Linked DNA regions of Diceros bicornis minor. The protein of the gene in region 1 purifies or fractionates together with the protein of each later gene. This does not show direct contact. Links are inferred from orthologs where the notes say so. Each region holds a gene or a part of one and is shown in the gene's direction. Other genes may lie near its edges. The genes, in order: GNB5 and GNG2.

The links.
Region 2: the proteins of GNB5 (region 1) and GNG2 purify together in Homo sapiens (affinity purification with western blotting; 4 studies listed by BioGRID and IntAct, with this or other methods). This does not show direct contact. The link is inferred for Diceros bicornis minor from reciprocal best matches to the Homo sapiens genes GNB5 and GNG2.

Annotation. Positions count from the first base shown.
Region 1 is NC_080744.1:48,140,012-48,150,058, reverse strand, and holds the start of GNB5 (guanine nucleotide-binding protein subunit beta-5), read left to right. Parts: upstream 1-5,679; 5' UTR 5,680-5,740; coding exon 5,741-5,852; intron 5,853-10,047. UniProt on the Homo sapiens protein: Enhances GTPase-activating protein (GAP) activity of regulator of G protein signaling (RGS) proteins, such as RGS7 and RGS9, hence involved in the termination of the signaling initiated by the G protein coupled receptors (GPCRs) by accelerating the GTP hydrolysis on the G-alpha subunits, thereby promoting their inactivation.
Region 2 is NC_080744.1:538,649-549,659, reverse strand, and holds the start of GNG2 (guanine nucleotide-binding protein G(I)/G(S)/G(O) subunit gamma-2), read left to right. Parts: upstream 1-6,206; 5' UTR 6,207-6,271; intron 6,272-6,314; exon of another isoform or gene 6,315-6,506; intron 6,507-11,011. UniProt on the Homo sapiens protein: Guanine nucleotide-binding proteins (G proteins) are involved as a modulator or transducer in various transmembrane signaling systems.

The DNA of each region.
Region 1 (10,047 bases):
TGATCGTGCTGCTCCACAGTAAGGGTTGCTGAGTTTCGCTACCTACAGGTTCAGGCTCCACCGCCGACCTTGAACTAGTTGTTTAATCCCTCGACTTTTCCTCAGCAGTAACACAGATGTCCTGCCTCCCCGCTGCCAGGGTGGCTGTGAGAGTTCAGGGCCGAGCGCTCCACGGTGGTCAGTAGCTGGTTCCCTTCTGATCTCTCATGCCTAAAGGACTGCCCTCTACTCCTTTGTCACCTAGTGATCTCAAGAACTATGCCAGCTGCCCCTTTGCTGTAGGAGTTCAACCCAGTTCATGAGCTCCCCATTCTCTCTCCAGCTCCACGGTGACCTCTGCAGTGTGGACATTCCCTCTCAGAGGTGTCCCCACTGCCCTCTCCTCCACAAATACATCCCTTTCAAATTTGGCTCTGTTGAAATATTCAGACCAGCGCTCCAAAAAAACTCAGAGGGTCATTTCTTTGAACCTTGACAGGGCCCGCTCTTTGGAACGCCTATTAAATTGGTACGGCTACAAAGTCTTCTCCCTCCCACCTAAACCTCCTCGTCCTCCATCTCTAGCAGTCGCACCACAGCCCCTCAGCCTCCCAAACAGAAATCTAGGAGACATAGACATCTCTGTCCCCTCGTTCCCGCATGTCGCCAAGTCCAGCTCCTCCTCCTCCTTCATAAGTGTGGTCCAAATCCATCCCACAGCGTTGCTTTAGTTCAGGCCTTCATTGTGTCTTGCCTGACCTGTGGCCATAGGCTCTTCTCTGCTCTTGCTGCATCTCTGGCCTCATCCCCCTTCCCTCCCCTCCTTCCTGCTGCTGCTGTGGCAGCCACTCACAGGGCAGCATAACATCTATGGAGCATTCAGTATATTCCGGCCTTGACCTAAGTGCTCTACGCACTCTCTCTCATAATTCGCCTGACAACCCTATGATGGTAGGTTTTAAGATCCTCATTTGATAGATTAGCAAACAAAGATTCAAAGAGGTCGAGTAACCTGCCTAAGCAGCGCGACCCGGACCCAGTCAGCCAGAGCCAGTACCCTTCTCCACTAGATGGTTTTGCTTCCTCAAGTTTGCGCTCCCTTCTGTGGCCTGGGCCTGTCTGTTGACTTCTGGGTGGACAGGCAGGGACTCTGGGTGTATGGCTGTTAAATGTTTAATAAACGGGATGCGTTCCTTGCAGGGAACCAACACCGCATTTACCTGGCCTCGTGGCATTGGTCGGGGTCAGGCTCCACTATTTTCTGGCTCTTGTTTTTACTCCAAAATTCACCCTGAGAGGAGGAATTTTTTTTTTTAAGTTTTAAATTATAGTATCCATTACAATGACACTGTCCACTGTGAAGCCCCACGGGATTAATATTGTGCTGCAAAGATCAATTGTGACCGAGTCTGCAAGCTGCCAAAAACCGGTTAAACATGAGTTCAGAAAACCTACTGTCTGACTCTTTCTTACTGATTAAATAAGTGAGTTGGGGTTGACCTAGCATGTTATAATAAATCACAGGTTACAAATTAACCATATATTCTTTATCCCACATGTAGGAGTTGGAGTAACTACGTGATAAAGGAAGATGAGGTTTTACAAAGCTGTTTCTGTTGGCTTTTCTCTCTCACACATACCTTTTTTTTCTCTCTCCCTTTCTCTTGCAGCTTCATCTTGGGTAAAAGATGTGTGATCAGACCTTTCTAGTTAATGTATTTGGCTCCTGTGACAAATGTTTCAAACAAAGGGCTCTGAGATCGGTTTTCAAGAAATCTCAGCAGTTCAGCTACTGTTCAATATGTGCAGAAATTGTAAGTGCCACTTTTTAAAAATTTAAGTAGTTACCTGTCTTACAACGATATCTAAGGTGAGGGTCCTGTGACAGACGAGTTGCCGTAGAATCAGTTTACACACAAACATTTTCAGCACACCTGGGCTAGGTGGGCCAGCAGACCATGCGGGTTTAGGGTGTGGACTCTGGTCTCTGATCGCCTAAGTTCAAATCCTAGTTATGTTGTTAGGTGATGGTATGCCAACAGATCTTGCCTCTCTCAAGAGATCTGTATTCCCATCTGTAAAAGAGGAAAAACAGCATCTATCTCACAGGGTTTTGTGAGGATCAAATGAGTTCATTTGATAAAGTGTTTAAAACAGTATGGTGCACAGGAAGTGCTCAATGAATGTTTTAGCTATTATTATTTTTTAGCGCTAATGCTTTTTTCTTCTGTCTTCTACTAGTCTGCTTGGCAAGCAACCAAGCTAAAAGGGACTCTGAGAAATAAATAGCCTGGGAGCACCTTTCCAGTGGTCCTGTGCCAGCTGTCCCTAGGAACAGCTCTATTCAAGATCCAACCAGACAGGGCCTCAGTAGCGAGCAAAATTAAGCTCAGGGAAAAGTGCTCCTTGGGCCTAAGCCTTCAGCGAGGGCTAGGGACAGGACACAAATTCTGGCATTTGTCAAAGTACACAAATCAGTCCTCAACAGGCTATGCACAGTCTTCAGATCTAGCAGCAAAAAGGGCCACAGCATGGCTGAAGCCCTAGGAATTATTAGTCCTATCTCAGAGGATGTGCAAAGCAGTGCTCAGTAGCGCAGCTGAGTGGAGCCTCCACCTGGTCAAAAGCAGTAAAGCACTCTTCCCCAATAGCCCAATAGGAAATCCCCAATTATCAACACATTAAAAAAATACATATCAAAGGGAGGAAAGATGACATTTACATTTTATTCAACTGAAGAGGAAAGGCAATATTCATCCTCCTGGTCCCATTGTAACCCCTGACAGTGATTACATTTTAAAACGTTATTCCCATAAAACAAATGGCAGGTAGACAGGACAGGGTGACACACAGGCTAGTAATCACAGAGGTACAGAATAGTAATCCTGAGGTCTCAGGATTCAGGCTCAGGGAACGGGCTTCTACCTGCAGCACATTATGTTCTAAACTTGGTTCTGCAAATTCTCAAACTGAGGACATTCAGTTCTTAAAATAAATCTGCTTTTTGGTGGCCCTACCATCCTGGAGCAGTGCTAGTTATTAATCTAGCTCTTCTGTTTTTTAAACAACTTCCTGTGTGGACAGCAGGAGCCCAGAATGCCAGACATGGGGTCCTCTGAGGCATCATAGATTCTCAGCAGGTCAGAGGCCCTGCCTGGAGATACTCTTCAGGGGACTGTTGCCGGCTATCTCCACCACAGCACTTCCCAAATATTCAGACAGACGTCTTTGGCTGAGGAGACATCCAAATGACGGACAGCTGACCTTTTATCCAGGTGCTTGGGATTGTGTAGACACAGCCCCCAGGGGACCCTTTTCGTGAGTAGGGGCAACCCTGTACCTCCACCACCCCTGAAATCACCTTTTCTGATCTCCAGCTTCCTCACTTATGAAAAGTAGTGAACGCCAAAGTACAGGAAGGCACTTTGCAAACTTTTCCAGCCATTAAAAAGTTACATGGCCTCATCTCTAGATGGTAGACTCTCCAGATGGGAGGGTGTTTGGGGTTTATTTTACACAGAGAACCTCCAGAGGAGGGCACACAGCAGTGTGACACTCCACTCACCCCAGGTCTTCAGAGACAGGTAGACCCCGAGGCAGGCATACACACCCCATGATGGTCCAAGACGTGTCAGCCTGAGGAGAGGGGGAGAGGATGCTGCTTTGCCTGGGCCTTCTGAGATGACCCTGTGAGAAGCGTTCCCCGTGACCTAGTGTCTCATTTCAATGACTTCATGTGAATTGCTCAAGTGTATCAGGTAGCCTTAATAATAATAGCGAGCACATACTGTGTGCCATGCATTGCTCTGAATGCGCTACGTAGTCACTCTTGACAAGGACCCTGTGAGGAAGGTGTTATCTCCATTTACAGATGAGGAGCCTGAGACACAGAGAAGTTAAGTAAATCACTCAAGCCCACACAGCACAGCCAGGATTTGCCCCCAGGCAGTCTGATCTAGATAGAGCCGATGCTCTTAACCTTTTGCTCTACCAACTCTGAAACAGATCTAATGTTTTTGCTTTTGTAAATGGTTGAATGTATCTAGAACATTTATATATTTTGTATCTCATTTTATATGTTTTATTTTTAATTATATATTTCATATATATTTACATATTTTGTTTTATACATCCATTGAATAAACTAACATTAACTGAGCACCTGCTATATACCAGTCATTAGGCTAAACACTGAGGATAAATGATGAATAAACCTTATTGATGGGTGGGGAGAAGGGAACTGGCAGTTAATAAGCATCTGCTGCGATGGAGCAGTTGGCTAAGAGGTTCACGCATATCATCTGATTTAATTCTCATAACAGCCCTGTGAGGTAGACGCCATGAAGTAGATTTTCTAGATGGGGAAACTGAGGAGCTCAGAATCTAACCTCCCAGACAACTATGTGTAGACTAATATAGATTACTTCCAACTTTTCTTAGATAGAGAGGGCCTACGACATGTCAAGGCTGGATTCCTCAAGAAGAAGGGGTACAAAGAGGGTGGGGATAGCACCCAAGAGTCTGCGTGGAGACGTTCACTTAAGCATTTGTAACCTCGATCTGCCTTCCCATTCTGTAGAGAAACACACGCGTGCCAGGTCATGGAGCTGGGAGGAGGGAGAAGCCATGGGTTGGGTCCTCCACGACGAAGTCCGGAGGCATGGAGCCGAATGGAGCCAGAAAGCCTGGGTCCAAATCCTCCCTTTGCCTCTTTCTGGGAGTGTGAACGGATTAAATCATTTAATCTTTCTGTGCCTCAGTTTCCTCATCTGTAAAATGGAGATGATAACAGTACCCATTGAGGGTGACAGTTGTGAGGATTAAAGGAGTTAATGTAAAGCACTGGGAACAGTGCCTGGCCCCGCAGGGGACTGGAAGAGGGGATGCTTGAGTCTGCCGTCAGTCACCACATTTGTGTCCTTGAGAGAACTGCAGCCGCCCTTCATTCTAAGGTGGGGGACGCTGCCTCACCAGTGACACGTCCGAGATCTCTGGACGTGGGCTTGGAAGCCCCGGGTCTGGTCCCCTGTGCACCCCTCACCCAGCCAGGGACTTAATTCCCGAGTGAAGAAAAGAAAAGCAAAAACCAAGAGCAGGCCTCCTAATGCCACAAAGACCCCAGAGCTTCTCGGAAGCCGGAACTAGTTTTATTTTTGTATATTTAAGTCAACCAAGGAGGAAAGTTTCCGGTTCGATGTCGGGGGAGCACCCGGGATCGGGCCGGGTGTCGTTGCCCTCTCCTCTCTCGTCCACTCTCTGCAGGTAGAAGCCACTGGCAGGGAATCAAGTCCCCGGCGGCGGGGGCGGGGGGGACTGTGTCACTGGGACTTCACCAGACTCCCAGGGGCCAGGCAGCCCTGGGTTGGAATCCCAGTTTGGCCCTTCACTACGTTAGCATCTTCCTGGCAAATCACGGATCATCTCTGAGCCTCGGTTTTCCCAGCGGTGAAATGGGCACGACGCTCCGTGCTTCTCCGGGGTGGTGTGCGCAGCGGCGCTAAGGCGGGCAGGGCCCGGGGTACTGCGCCAGGGCGCGCGCAGGAGGTGCCGGGGCGGGGGGCGCGGGGCGCGCGGGCGAGGCCGGCGCAGAGGGGGGGGATCGGCCGCCGCAGCCGGCTCGCGGCGGCCGCGTCAGCGCCGGAGGGCGGGGCGCGCTCGAGAGACGGCGGCTGGAGCTGCGCCCGCTCCCCGGCCGCGCCTCCGTCGCCCGCTCACCGCAGCCCGGCTCTCCGCTTCCCTCCCCGCCGCGTCCCCCGCGAAGATGGCAACCGACGGGCTGCACGAGAACGAGACGCTGGCGTCGCTGAAGAGCGAGGCCGAGAGCCTCAAGGGCAAACTGGAGGAGGAGCGGGCCAAGCTGCACGACGTGGAGCGTGAGTGCGGGCGGGGCGGGGGCTGCGCGCCGGGAGGCGGGCCGAGGAAACGAGACAGGCGCCCGGCTCCCGGAGGAGGGGGCGGCCCGGGCCCGGGGCGGGGGCCAGGCCTGCGCCGTTCCGGGGATGCGGGCCCCGGTGTCCGGCACCAGGTGAGGCGCGGGCAGCGGCCTGGGGGGTGTGGGGCCCGAGCTGGGCGGCCCTCGGAGGCTCCAGGCACCTTGCAGAGCCCCCGCCCGCCTCTGGGCGGGGGAGCCCGGTGGTGTCAGCCCCTGGCCTCTATCCTCCCGACGAAGGATCGTGGGACCGGTTACTGTCACCACTTTCCTGGAAGATGCAAACTGATCCCATCCCTGCCCTTCCCAGGCGGGGCGGGGTGGAGGGGGTGGCAGTGGTGGCCAGCGCAGCGAGCCCGTGTGCGCGAGGCCTAGGGTAGACTCCTGTTTTGTTTTTTAATCATTTGGCTTTCTCCGTCACTGCCGTGTCTTTTCTCACTTTTGCTTTTACAAGGAATCAGACTCTTTTTTTAAAAGCTAATTTTTCCAGTCTCCCCCTCTCCTGGTGGCTGCAGAACCGGATGGGGGAAGGGAAGCCGAGGAGCTTACCAAATTAACCATTTAGTTCATTGAAGGCTGTTTAAGAAGCTTTTTTGGATGGATGCAGTGTGATTGGCATAAAAGAGCAATAGCAATCTTGAATAAATTTACGTTGTTGACCACTACCATAGTTCAGAACCGGTCTGTGATTTTTAAGAGTGAACAGTTAAAAAGCCAGATTAAATAGCTCTTGGCGGGATCAGCTTCCCTTTGACCTGTCAGACGGTTCGTCCTCAGCAGAGCTTCGGTCCGGGCCAGGCTTGGGGAAGTGGCCTTGTCTGCTTACTTTTCAGCTCTGAGGCTCGCGGCTCCCCTTTCCGAGCACAGCCTCCCCGTAGTGCCCTCAGGTACACCTGTACATTGTGCTCCTGCCACTCCTACTTGGTACCACCCCCTTTAAATTGTGTTTGAAAGAGAAAAATGGGGTTCATGCTAGGTCCCTTACCACCTGGTTCCTTTCTTTGAAAATCACTTGAAAGAAGCAGATGACCTAATCTAGAGTATGCTGTGCTTTTATAGGGGCCTCCTCTAAATAGGAGGCACACTAAGCTCCTATGTCATTTAGAAATGTGTCCAGCTACAATTAACTATAAATCCCAAATAAAGGAGTTAAGCAGATTGAGAGTTATTTTTCTTACATAACAAGAACAAGGGTAGGCGATTGCCAGCGCTGGTTCAGCTGTCCAATGTGCCGTCAGGGACCCACACTCTTGTCTTTCTTCTCCACCACCCTGAGAGCGGTGGCATTTGCCCCATAATTATAATATGACTGCCACAGCTCAAGACATCACCTCTGTATCCAGGGCAGGAAGAAGGCGGAATGTGGACACCAACCTCTATTTCTCCTTCTTGTCAGGAAAGCAAAAGTTTTCCCCAGAATGTCCCTTACAGACTTCTGTTTGCACTTCATTAGCCAGAACTGGGCCACATGGCTACTGCAATGGAGACTGGGAAAGCGAGAACGGAGCTGGGCACATTGCCATCCCCAAACAGAGCTGGATTTCAGGGAGGAAGTAGGTAATGGATATTGGGAGGCATGGGACAGGGTCCGCCCCATTTCCCTTTACAAATTCCTACTCTCTGCAGCTGATAACGACAATGCTGTAAGCGTGGCATTAGTGCCTCTGAGGTAGGCCGTCTGATTTCTCCATTTTACAGATGAGGAAACTGAGGTACAGAGAGGTGAAACGACTTGCCGGAGGACCCCAGCTAGTAAGTGGTGGGACCAGGATTCCAGCCCAGCCTCAAGTCAGCTTTTCTGCAGAGCCCATTGTACTCTATGCAGAGGGCCTTCTCCAGAAACTCACGTACTCAGCAGTGGCAGGCTGCCCACTCAGATGTCTTTCAGCCTTTTCTGTGAATTGGTAAATTGCCTTAAGGCAGAGAGGTTGTCAAGATGCAGCTTTTCAACAGGGAACCCCTCTCCTGCCAAGGATGCAGTGCCCTCAGAGGCCAGGGCCAAATTTTGGACCCACAGTGGAAGGATCTATCCCCACCTGCATAAGTCAGAACTTTTGAATTGAAAAGACCTGGGGCCGGCCTGATGGCATAGTGGTCAAGTTCGCGCTCTCTGCTTCTGTGGCCCGGGGTTCACTGGTTCGGATCCTGGGCACGGACCTATGCACCACTCATCAAGCCATGGTGGCAGGTGTCCCATATATAAAGAGTAGAGGAAGATGGGCACGGATGTTAGCCCAGGACCAATCTTCCTCAGCAAAAAGAGGAGGATTGGCAACAGATGTTAGCTCAGGGCTAATCTTCCTCACCAGAAAAAAAAAAAAAAAAGACCGGAAGTCATGTGGTCATGTTCCCCTTTATTCCCCCTGCAGCTTCTGGACCACTTCTCCTCCATCCCCTCTTATCCTCCCCTCATGTAAAACCCTTGCTCCTTTGAAGTTCCCATTATTCAGCTGACCTACCTCTTCCCCCCTGTGTGCTGCTGTCTCCTGACCTCCCAGCCAGGCTCCCTCACTTCTTAAGGACTTTGGCACATGGCTTGAGCCTTCCTTTTGACCCTAAGCCCTGCCCCATCCCCGGTGTCTTCAGGGTCCACAAAGGTGACCCTCCTAACACGCTGGCCCCTCACTCCATCACAGCCCCCTGGGATCTTCTTAGCACTCAGAACTGCCCCTCCTCTGACTGCACTCTCTCCCACGGAGATGTCCATGATCCAGGATCACTGGGCTCTTCTCTCTTCCAGTCTCTCAGCCTCTCCCCGAGACTGCACATTTATGCATTTCGGTGTTGTCGTATAGACAGCCCTGTAGCCCCTCCCCTATTCGAGGAAACTTCTATAGGCCATAAGCTAAGGTGACTACATCATCTCGGTTTGCCCGGGACTCTGGGTTTTAAAATGGAAAGTCCTACATTCTGGGAAACCCTCAGTCCTGGGCAAACTGGAACAGTTGGTCAGCCTTCTGTTAGCTCTGACTTGCCCAAAGTCTTGCCTTTAGAAAGTCAACACAACAAAATTGTAGAGCATACACTTGGAGGAAAAGTGAGATTTTCCCAAGTCCAGACCCCCACTTCTTCAGCTCCCATCCCTTTGACCCTCAGACCAGCGTCTATTCTGTGGGGCCCTCATCCTGAAGTCAGACCCTTGGCTGACATTCAATACAGGAGTGGCTTAGACGGGTGGTCTACAGGGAAGCCAGCCTACGTCCCACTCCACAGCCCAGCCCCGCGCCCTGCCCCTGCCTTCCCCCTACTCCTCCAGCGCTTCCTGCTTCTCCCTGGAAACTTCCCCTGTCGCCTTCTGCTTACCTTCCACCAGGGGGAAGTGCTCCCCTGCGTGATTCTAAGGCATTTTAGAATCACTAGGTTGCAGCTTGTGTTAGTTTCCTGTTGCTGTTGTATGACTTCCCACAAGCATAGTGGCTTAAAGCAACATAAATTTATTCTCTTACAGTCCTGGAGGTCAGAGGTCTAAAATGGGTCAGCAGGGCTGCATTCCTTCTGGAGGCTTTGAGGGAGAGTTCATTCCTTGCCTTTTCCAGCTTCTGGAGGCTGCATTCCTTGGCTTATGGCCCCACATCACTCCAACCTCATTTCCATCATCACCTTTCCTTCTTTGACTCTGATCCCCCTGCCTCCCTGCTCTAAGGACCCTTGTAATTACATTGGGCCCGTCTGAAAAATCCAGGATAATCTTTCCATCTCCAGATCCTTAACTTAATCACGTCTGCAAAGTCCCTTTGCTTTGTAAGGTAGCATATTTGCGGGTTCCGGAGATTGAGATGTGGACATCTTTGGAGGGCCTATCACACAGGTCTTAAACCTGGAAAGGGCCACCTGCCTCAGCCTCAGTCTTCAGGCACAAAAAGTTTTCTTCTCTTCCCAACAACTCAACCCCTTTTCCTGTGGGATGAGGAAGCAGCTGAGATCCAAGGAAGGGTTTGGAGATTTCCCTAAGGTTATGCAGCCGCTGTAAAGGAGAATGGGGAGTAGACTCCAGGCTCCTAGTACAGCTCTCCCTCTGACCATGCCAGGCCACATCTCAGCAAGTTAAGATTTACATTTAAAAGGAAGAAAAGTAAATCTGTGTGTGTGTATACGAAAAGGTGTCAATATTAAGTAAAAAAAAAAAAAGAGAAAAAAGA
Region 2 (11,011 bases), about 48 Mb from region 1:
CCCTCCTCGCCACACCCTCTTCTCACTTTCTGATTCCCAAGGACATTTTTGGGAATATTTTAAGCAGCCTTGGGGGTTTATTTGGTCATTCCCCTAGAATTTTGTAAAACGTATGTTTCCGTATTTTCAAAGGGGTCAGTCAGCAGGACTGACGACTCTCTTCCAAGAGGCCTAGCTGTTCAGATTCACTTAAAGTTAACAGACGGCTTCTGAGCACACACAACCTGCGAAGCGCCCGGTGCCCGGTGCAGAATACCCGGAGAGGGAGGCACGGCCCTCGCCTCGGGCACTCAGTCCAGTGTGAGACTCCAGTGGACTCTGGCAGAGAGACAGATTCCCCACCCAGCACTCAACAGCGCAACTCCCTCCTCGACTCCTGTGGTTCTGTTTCAGAAATTCTATTATAGGAAAACCTTAAAACTTAGGGAGAAAGCAGAGCTGGGAGACCCAGGTCAGAAGCAAACCTGCGAATCCTCTTCACTGAGGGAAGTCAACAGACACAGAAACGAGCACCCCAGAGCCCTGTTTCCCCTCTGCAGCCTTTGCCATCCTATTTACTGTTGGAGTAGATTGCCCTGTCCGTCCTCACACTCGGCACAGAAAAACCAAGTCTTGCCTTTCCACCTTGCCTGCAAATTATTGGAGTTATTATTGTATAGCTTTTCTTTCAGACACTTCAAAATGCCTTACTCTGTGTTGTTCATCTACTAGTTCGCATCCTTCAATCCTGACGGCCCTTTCGGAGGACTCTCCCAGGCTTCGCTCTGCGCCGTGTTCTCGCCTCGGTCAGGCTCTGGCTGACGGCCTCTTCCTCATCTCGTTGCCCGCTTCCTGATCTTCTGTGTGGGTCTTCAGAGACTTTTTAGAGGGGACAAGTCGTATTTTGCAGAATTGCTGTTTCTGTTTTTGTGGTAATAATGCATTCGGTTTACACTCTCGCATCACCCTAGTCGGCAGTCTGGCTCCCGCTCCTGCTGGAGGAAGGTTTGGAATGATTTCTGCTCACGGGATGACACAAGCTTCAGACTCGGGGCAGGCAGTGTCCACTCTGGAAGTGTCCAGCCTTTGTTCCCACTTAACTGGCCACACTACCCCTGCACACAGCTGCTTGGCTTCACGTGTGCAGGCCTCCATGGTTCTTTCTGACCTACTTCCAGCTCTGGCTCTGTCTCCCTCCCCATCTCCATGCCCAGTGTGGTCTTCAGGAGACCTCGTGCCCCACCGTGAGCCCTCTTCCAGCCCCTTAGCCTCCCTCTACCCTTGGCCTCCGAACCCCACCCCCCCATCAACACTGTGCTTGTTCTCTCGTGAGGTGTTAGGAAAGCAAGTTTCTTGAACTCCATCACTCAACCTCCCCAGGGCTTCACGTATGTAATACACACATGCATACATTTCGGCTAACAACCCAAATAAGTTCAATTTTGGTGACATTTCAGGCAATATTGGAGAAGAACCTGGGGGCCTCATACTATTCTGTGAATCCCCTGGTTGGCCCTGCCTGGGGCAAAGGGAAAGGAGAATCAAGCCCCTCCCACTTTGCCTTCCAGATGGACCGAGAGGTGGCCATCACTCTGCAAACCCCTGTCCTACCAGCTCTTGTGTTGGGCTCTGAGACAGGGACTGGCGTTTTGAGAGGTTCAGCCACCATCTCGCGAGAAAGATTAGTTCTGCCCACCCAGCCCTGACTCTCTTTACACCCAATATGATTCAGCCTTCATGGCTCCTAACGGCTGGGGGTGGGCTCAGGTGTCTGGGGGAGGGAACGACCTGTGACACACAGATCAGATCAAGATTATGCCTTTTTTGGACAAAGTCTTTAGAGAGACTTCTATTCTCTTTAGTTGATCCAAGAAATGCCTGGAAATCTGGTTTTTCCGTGGTAAAAGAATACCTCAATGATTCATTTTTTTAACCTTGATTACTCTTTGGCACAACAATTAAGCAAGTTATTAAATGTATCGTGAATGTCTGTGAGCAGGCAAGACTTATTAATCCATGAATTCACCTTCTTATCCCCATTTTGCTCTTCCCTGTTCACCACAGTCCACACATGCACTCAAGGAGGTGTTGCTGGTATGGTTTATGGCTCCTGATACAAAGTAAGGAAGGACAGAGCGAGAACAAAGCTGAGACATGTAGGGAGGACTTGGCCAGAGAAGAGAAGTCCATCCAAGTAGTAAAGAGCCAGCTGGGCATGGCCGGGACACACACACACGCACACACACACGCACACACACACGACAATACTGCAAAGAGAGTATAGGAAGAGTTTGAGGATTTGGCTCGGGGGCATCTGTAAGGTGGCGAGAACTGGAGAGGGCAGGAGGGAACATGAACAGTGTTTCTGGCTCATAAATTAGTCCCTTTAAAGTTCATCCAGAAATGCAAGTACAGAATAGCTTTCTTTCCTTTTTTCTATTTCCTTTTATTTTCTAAATTGCTTTGTTGCCTGACCGTGCTTCTCTGTAAGCAGTTCAGTGTGGAAACGGAACCAGCTCTTGCCCCAGGATTCTCTAAGGTCACCTATATGACAAACACTCAGAATGTGGTACGTGTGCACCAGGGTTTTCTGCAGACAATTTGCAAAAAATAAAGGAATTATTATTTCTTATCCCATGACCAACTTCTCATATCAGAAACTTCCCTTTTTCCTCCTTCCCAGGCAACCAAAGGAACACAAAAGCGGTTTTGGAATTTCTGCCCATATAGCCTTTTCATTATACAAACATCTGTTAGCTACCTGCTGTTTAACAAGCAAAGATGAACAGAACAAATCTCCAACCTTGTGAAGGGGCTCAAATAGTGAGTGGTGAGTGAGGTGGACATATAACAACTCATGAAACAATGCAGCTGGTGCCCAAGTGGACATGAGGCAGGGTGCCACGCACTCACAGAGCAAGAGACAGAGGCTCAGCTGGCGAGGTCAGGGAAGGCTTCTGAGAGAGAAGAGTCTGAAAGGATAAGTTGGGGTCACCAACTGACAAAATGGAGGAAGGAATAAGCACATTTCTGGCAAAAAAAAAGAGCATGTGCCAAGATGCAGAGGAGAAAAGAGCATGGCCCCGTGGGAACCTGCCACGAAGACGGGTGTGGAGTGAGTGGACGTGGGGTTGCCACAGGTTAGATACTAAAGTTAGAGTGTAGTTGGGCGACATTATGGAAGGCCTTGTAAGCAATGGGAGGGGAGATACTGAAAAATTACACACGGCAGTGACATGCTCAACTCTTCATCTTAGAAATGTACTTCTGTGGGCGTGGCTTAGAAGAGAGCTAGGAGGCAGGAGGACCAAGTAGGGAGTATTGCAGTCATACAGGGAAAACCCAGGAATCTATTAATCAGACAGTGGCCAGGGCAATAGGGAGGAGTGGTGTGGTCAAAGAGAGAGTCTGGTGGTGGGAATGGAGGGATGAGGAAATTTAAACCAGACCTGGGGTAACAAAGACAAATGGTTCTGATATTACTCTTACATTCCTGCTGTGGGCAACTGGTTTGTATTCCTCATTAAATGGAATGGAGAAGAGAGAAAGGAGAACAGCTTTGGATGAGGTAATCTCCATAATTTGGGGAATGTTAGTGTTAAAGAACTCCAAGGAACTTCAGCTAGAACGCTCAGGAATGCAGGAGAGCTGTCAGGCCAAGACGATGGCCTCCTTGTTACCATCAGCCTCCTAACCAGGTAGATGCAAGAACTACAGGGTATCAATGCCTACAAACAGGCTACCGATGAACAGGCTTTGTTTTCTGTGTTGATAAAATGTGTCTGGGGTAGGCTCATACTCAGTTACTGACGGCACGAACTGCTCACGGTGAGATGCAACTGTACCTCCTAAGAAATGCACACTTGGTAGGCGTACTTACCACACTTGTGTTAAGAGCTCTGAACTGGAGTAATCTTCTCTCTTACTGAATCTATACCACACATTTTTCTTTTCTCTCCAGAAAAAGAGGCTATTAGGACCAGAAAGCAAGGAGGTTAATGACAGCAAGAGAAAGATCTTAAAATCTAGTTTTCAGCTTTGGGGAGAGGATGGTTGGCACTTCCCAGCAATGGCCAGGTTAACCTACTGAGAGTTTTATAAGGGCCAGAGAGGGAAGAACCCATCAGACGGCAGCAGGACAAATTCCTAGAGACTTTGTTGTCTGAAAGAGATTTTCCTATACAGACATAAAGATAAGTACCAACCACTTTCTGATGGTTTGGAGAAACTGTGAGAAGGGGAGAGAGAGAGAGAGGACTTATTTAAGTCCCTTAAGACAAATAAATCTTAAAAAAAAAAAATACTTATTTGAATCCAGAGTTAACGTCAGAAGCCACTAGTCTAAAATTAACCAAAGATTTGTTTCCATAATCTTCCAACCATTAATAACTGTGCTTCTCATTTTTCTTAGACTTAGTATCATATACATCTAAATTTTTGTTTAAAAGCTCCTAGTAACCGTTGGCACCAAGATTCCTGATTTAGAGGAAATTCACGTCTGATTTTCACTGGGTTGCAGGAGGCTGTGGGAATCTATGTCCAATCCTCTTCCGCTGCTACAATTCTATCTGCTGGTGGCTCAGAAGTTTTAGTTTCTCATTTTTAATCTTAAAACAATCCAAATTTTCCGATGTTCCTTTTTGATAAAAGATTTCCAGGAAGAAATAAGCAAACTCTGTTCATGGAACATCAAATCAAAACAAAGAGTATCCTGGGGCTGTCAGAACATTTCATAGAAATCAAGTTCTGTGCCCTCCAGGCTGATGTGCTGTGGTCCCCTAGGTGGGTTAGGAAGGCTCAGCTGGCTTCTTCCCTGAGTGTCCAGGTAACCTGCGTCAGCCCTGCATTTCCATTTCCTGTTGGTTTACTTGCTGGAGGATTTAAGATTAACTTTCCAGGCACGGAATCCTGAGGAGAGGTTTCTTAGCAGCGTTGCCTGGACACAGAAGAAGGATTCCCCCGCCCCCAGCCTGTGTTTAATCTGTAGCTGCCCCAAAGCACCTGTGTTGGTCGGGAGAGAATGACTTACAAGCTGAATGAATCGTCACCAAGAGCATCTGCGTTAGTCATGGATACGTTAACTAAGGGGGGTCGGGAACCAAATACTGATCCTGCTTTGGCTGCTGATGCCGACGTCACCGGCCATCTCTGAGCTTCCACATCCTCTAAAAATAACGAGCTAATACACACGAACACTTCCTATGTTATCATTTTGTGTGCCATCTCATTTAATCCTCAGATTTCTGCTGAGGGTCTGACTATACTCATCTCCATTTTGCAGATGAGGAAATTGAGGCATGTAAAAGTTAAATAATTTGCCCAAGTTCATACAGTTTGGATTCAAATCGGGTGAACAGACTGCCTGCAGGCTTTGCCCTCATCCATGACACTACTAAAGCAAGGATCCTGAGGGTCCTTTCAGCCCTACGGTGCGGGGAAGGGGTTATTTCTGGGCTGGGACTCGTGGCATTCAGCCCCATCTTGTTCCTTCCCACCACGGAGAATCTTCTGGGAATATGTCTTCATATGAGGCCACAGGTAGCAGAGCAAGACTTGGTGTAGTTCCTGTCCCCACAAGAATACTTATCGGGGCCACTCTTTTCTGAGCATGTGGGTTAACGCAGATCTCAGTGGCAGTGGGACCTTGGAGAAATTAAGTGTCTGGAATGTTGGCCACAGAAAAAGGCTGCAGCTAGAAGCTGCAGGCGGCCAGCTCCCAGCCAGCCGTCCTGATAGGGACCCTAGGAAATCAGGAGGAGTCATGGAGGCTGGCGCCGGATTTCAGGGCCACAACTGGCCAGGGGCTGTTGACCCAAAAAAGACAGCAGAGGCAGCAGCAAGAAGCAGCCAAGTGCAGGCTGAGAGAGCAGACTGCGTGCGGGCGCGGGGCGAGGGGGCGGCTGCTGGACGCTGCTGTGGAGGAGAGGGTGAGGGGGAAGGGGAGGAAGAGCGGCGGCCCAGAGCGAACAAAGGGATGGCGACCCTCGGCGCCTCGCGTCAGGCGCCCGGGGGGGCGAAGCCGGGGCCGCCGAGCAGCCCCGAGGCGGCGTGAGACGGCGCGAAGAAGGCGGCTCAGAGCGGCCGAGAAGGAGGAAGTGGGAGACGCGCAGCTTCCTGCGGGGAGAAGCTCGCCGAGGACAAAGCCGGGCGGGGACCGGCGCCGCCGCACGCGCCGGCGGGCAGCGCCCCCTGCGCTGGGCGGGCCGGGCGCGCGCGCGGGCGGGCGGGGCGGCTGCGCGAGCGGCGGCGCAGATCGGCGCGCAGCCGCCTCCCCGGACCGGCGCCGGCTGAGGTAAGGGACGCGCTCTCGTGCGGCTCCTCGGGAAGCGCCCAACCTGGCCGTCGCCTGTGGGTTTCGGGGCGGATTTCCGAGGGGAGACGGGGGCGCCGCTTCAGGATCGGGGGCATGATGGGGATGGCTTCTTCCAGGAGGGCTTGCTAGGACGGCTGCGTTTGTGACACAGCTGCTTTAAGAAAACCGTCATGAGCACTCGGCTCTGGTGACTCGTCAGGGAAGCGCACGGCGTGTAAGCAGCTGCTCGCCTCGTTCTCTGGGCGGAGAAGCGGGCCGAGGGGAAGCGGGTCGGGGCTGTGGGGCTGTGGGGCGATCATCTGCGCCTTTCAGGGTGTCAACTGCTCATTGCATTATCTTTCTGACATAGTGCCCTGGGGCGGCTTCTGTTTTGCAGCAAAATGACTGTGACTTGGCTTTTTTGTTGCTGTTTTCAAATCCTTTTGTGCTCAGAATTTGCCAACAAAGGCTGGAATTGCTATGTGAGGGGCAGTATTTACCATTAAGAAACGGTGTCCTCCCTCGGCTCTGCAGCCGCTCTCTGATCACCTCGGAAACAGCTACCGTTTCCAGTAGGTCTTTTCCGAAAGTTGCATCCTTTCTCAGAGGAGTGTGGCGGGTTTAACTTGTCTAGAGCGAGACATCGGTGTGTGTGGCTTTTGTGTTGATATGGATTTTATTCATCTTTAGGTCAAGATGCATGCTAACTCAGTGCGGGAAAAACGCAGGAGCGGCTGAGTCTTTTCCTCACCTGGATGCACTGTAGACAGACAGGAATAGTCAGATCAGAACGTGATTTTTATTCTTTCATTTTCGTGAGCAATGAGTCCTCTTAATGAGAGTTTGTGACCGTGACTTGTTCATATTTATGAACGACATGTAGAAGAGCAATAAATAGGTCTAACGGATTAGAAATGAGATTGAGCTTCCTTTGGCAGGGTGTGTGGGAGAAAGAGTTTAATACTCTAGCATAGCGTGATTTTAAAAATGAGGCTTTGTCTCTGACGGAAAGTGTGGCTAAGCAATAAATGGTCATTGATCGAAGGTTTTTTCTTGAGTTTTTAGAATGAAAGGAGATAAATTTTCAAAAGAAAGAAAGAAAAAACTGCTTATAGTGGAGTAAAAATAATAAAAAGGTCATATTTAGACATTCATAAATTCTTAAAATACAGGTTTTTAAACGTTAAATATGCCATTGAGAGTGTATATGCCTCCTCATTGATTACATTCTCAATTGTGAAGAGCTATAGGGGTTTTTTTAACGTCATTTTTATGAAATTGATTTTGGCTTCTCCAAATTTGTGCTGTAGCAGCACATTTTCAGAGGTAAGAATCTTTAGGTACTAAAGAAAAAAAGTCTGCTTTTCTGAGATCACGTACTAAATTAAACCTGTACCATGTCTAAGAGGCAAAATATCGCTGGTGTGGAAACCACAGAGCTCCCCCAACACACACGCTCAGTTTAATCAGACCTGTGGGCAAAACCAGTCCTCCACACACAGCTCAGTTCCGCTTTCCATTTGCCTCCTAAAGGGAAATACGAAAGATAATACTCCCGGACAGGAGGTCTAGGGTGGATCTCGGGTCCAGGACGCCCCTGACTGGAGTGCTATGATCAAGCTGCCTGTCACAGACTGAGGAGGAAAGTCGTAAATCCGGGCTATAAGAATGAGGCCGGGGCTCACCTCGGAGCTGCTCATCTGAGGCTGCGTTCACGAGATAACGCCAACACCCTGCTTTGTCTGGGAGTGTGTAGACAATCTGCCTTCCTCCGAGTGTTTCATACCAGAGTAAGAAAACGAAACCCGGGCCCAGGAGAGTCGGGGCCCCAGCCCTCTTTCAGAAATCACCTAAGAGGTGCCTATCTTCTGCGCAGCCCAAAACATTTCCTTAATTGTTAAATACCAGCTTGAAGCACATTAGCGAGTGACAGCAGATCAGTAACTATGATGGTGGAAGGTTTGGGAAGAAGAGGAATATGCTTCTATGCTGTAAAATGAGACCATTTCCACTTATTCTGGCCATATGGAACACTGACAGACATAATGCTTTTGCCCAGGGTGTTCAGTGGCTTTTGAGGGAGTGCAACAACACTGAAATTTTAATTGTATGTGTTTTTCGGCCATATGGCCAGTGTCTGGGTGGAAACATGAGTCCATTGTTTGGTGGCCAGCCCCGGCCTCAGACAGCGAGCACGCAGTGAGTGTGTTTGGTTGACTGGTCTTTCAGCCTACTTCAGAAGGCGGGCCCAGCTTTGAAGTGTAAAGGCTCTGTAGTCAAAGCAGAAAACCTGTTCCAAAGGATGGCTGTGTGTGGAAGAAAAGAACACCATGGGGTGAGAAGAACGCAGGCCTCCAGCGTTGCGAGCCTCCGGCAGGTCTGCCTTGAACCCGACCTCTGGTTCTGACCCCTCGCCCTGGTACGTTAACTTAGGAGGGTCAGTTTCTTCATTGGGAAGAGGGGTTAACAGCACACAGTCAAGGTTTGTGGGGATTTTTGTTTGGTTGTTTTTTGGTTTTGTCGTGTTTATTTTGGTTTTGCTCTTGCGTGTGGGTATGTGAGCGCCTGGTACACAGCAGGTTCTCAGATGCCTTCTCCTTCCTGGGTAGCATAAGGAAAAGTGAGCGTTTTCTTGACCTTGGCCACCACCTCAAAGGTTCCAGGAGACAGTTTTTTTTTATTGTAGTAAAATACATGTAACACAAAATTTCCCATTTTAACCATTTTTAAGTGCGCCATTCTGTGGCATTAAGTATATTCACGTTGTTGTGCAACCATCACCACCATCCATCTCCAGATCTTTTTCATCTTCTTGAACTAAAACTCTGTTCCCATTAAACACTAATTCCCCATTCCCTCCTCCTCCTAGTCCCTGGAACCCAGCATTCTACCTTCTGTCTCTGATTTTGACTACTCTAAGGACCTCATATAGGTGGAATCATGCAGTATTGTCTTTTTGTGATCAACAATTCACTTAGTATAATGTCTTCAAGATTCATCCATGTTGTAGCATGTGTCAGAATTTCCTTCCTTTTTTAGCTGGCTAATATTCCATTGTTTGTATAGACCACATTTTGTTTATTCATTCTTCTATCGATGGACACTTGGGTTGCTTCCACATTTCAGTTACTGTGAATAATGCTGCTGTGAACATGGGTGTACAAATATCTGTTGGAGTCCCTGCTTTCACTTCTTTTTGGGTACCCAGAAGTGGAATTGCTGGATCGTATGGTAATTCTATGCTTAATTTTTTGAGGAACTGCCATACTGTTTTCCATAGCAGCTGCACCATTTTACATTCCCACCAGCAGTGCACAAGGGTTCCAATTTCTCCTCATTGTCACCAACACTTGTTATTTCCTGGGGTTGGTTGGTTATTTGTGACAACAGCCATCCTAATGGGTGTGAATTGGTATTTCTGTGTGGTTTTCATTTGCATTTCCCTAAGGATTGGTGATGTTGAGGGTCTTTTCATGAGCCTATAGGCCTTTTGTATGTCTTCTTTAGAGAGATGTCTATTCAAGCCCTTTGCCCGTTTTTTAATTGGGTTGTTTTCGAGGAGACTTTTTTAAATAGTGGGATCTCTTAACATAGTGCGTGATAAAGATCAAGATGACAATGTTTGTGTTTAATCTCCTGTGGACACCAGTATTCTCCCCGCCCAAGTAAAAGACTTGTCTCAAAAGCAACTTTTAAAATCAAAAGGAGAAAATAAGAAAATCTGCATAGCTCCTGATAATTGGTGATATTGTGAACCTGATAGTGAAATTCAAACCCTTGTTGTGGACAGTCACGCCAGTGACCCTGCTGGTCCAGTGTGGACTGGGCTGCTACAAAGGATGCACTGGGGGGCTGTGTCTTTCTCGTCTCCGCTCATTAGCTGGATGAGAAAAAATGCCCACTGGGTAGCAGGGTCAGAAAAAGGGAGGAGAAACTAAAGCACTAAATTGTTCTCAAATTCTTTATAATGAGAGGGTTGGCCTGTGGAGTTCAACCACGCAGATTTCTGAGAGAAGTTTCTGTTAACAAAATGTGAGTCTAATCTAAACTTCACTGTGAAAAAAAGAATCCTTCTGTTTCATTTTCCACTACCGATTTCACTCCAGATTTTGCAACCAGTGAGGCAAAGTGTGGATGGGCTGAGGAGAGCTGGGCAGGATGATTGCGGGGACTCTATTGAGCAGCGACAACATCTGAGATTTGTGTTCTGGTGCAAACGTTGGCCTGAGTGGAGCTCCTAGGTGATTGCATGATGATTTGTGTAATGCACTCTGTGTGTGTTGGGGAGTTGGATAACGACCCCCCACTTTGTTTGATTTGTAAATCTATTCATTCTACAATTCCTGGGAGGACCCATGATGGCTTTACTAGATCCAGGTGGGAGAGGGGGTCACAGAGCTGTGTTAAGACTGAGTTGCTGGCCTGTGACATTGTGGGATGGTAGAGCTGAAAATGACCTGGGGAAGAACCCAGCCTGTGTCAACGCCTCCAGGACGGATGGTAAAGTAGGCTCGGGATTTAAGTTCCCTTTCTAGAGTCGCACTGTTCATCGACACCTCACCTCCCTTCTAGCAGGGCAAATGGATGGAGAAAGTCTATATACTTCACCACTTTTTAAATTGTTGGTAAGACCAAATTATTTTGTTTAAAAAGAAGAGGGTGGGGGCCGGCCCAGTGGTGCAGCGGTTAAGCTCACGTGTTCCGCTTTGGCGGCCTGAGGTTCGTTTGTTCGGATCCCGG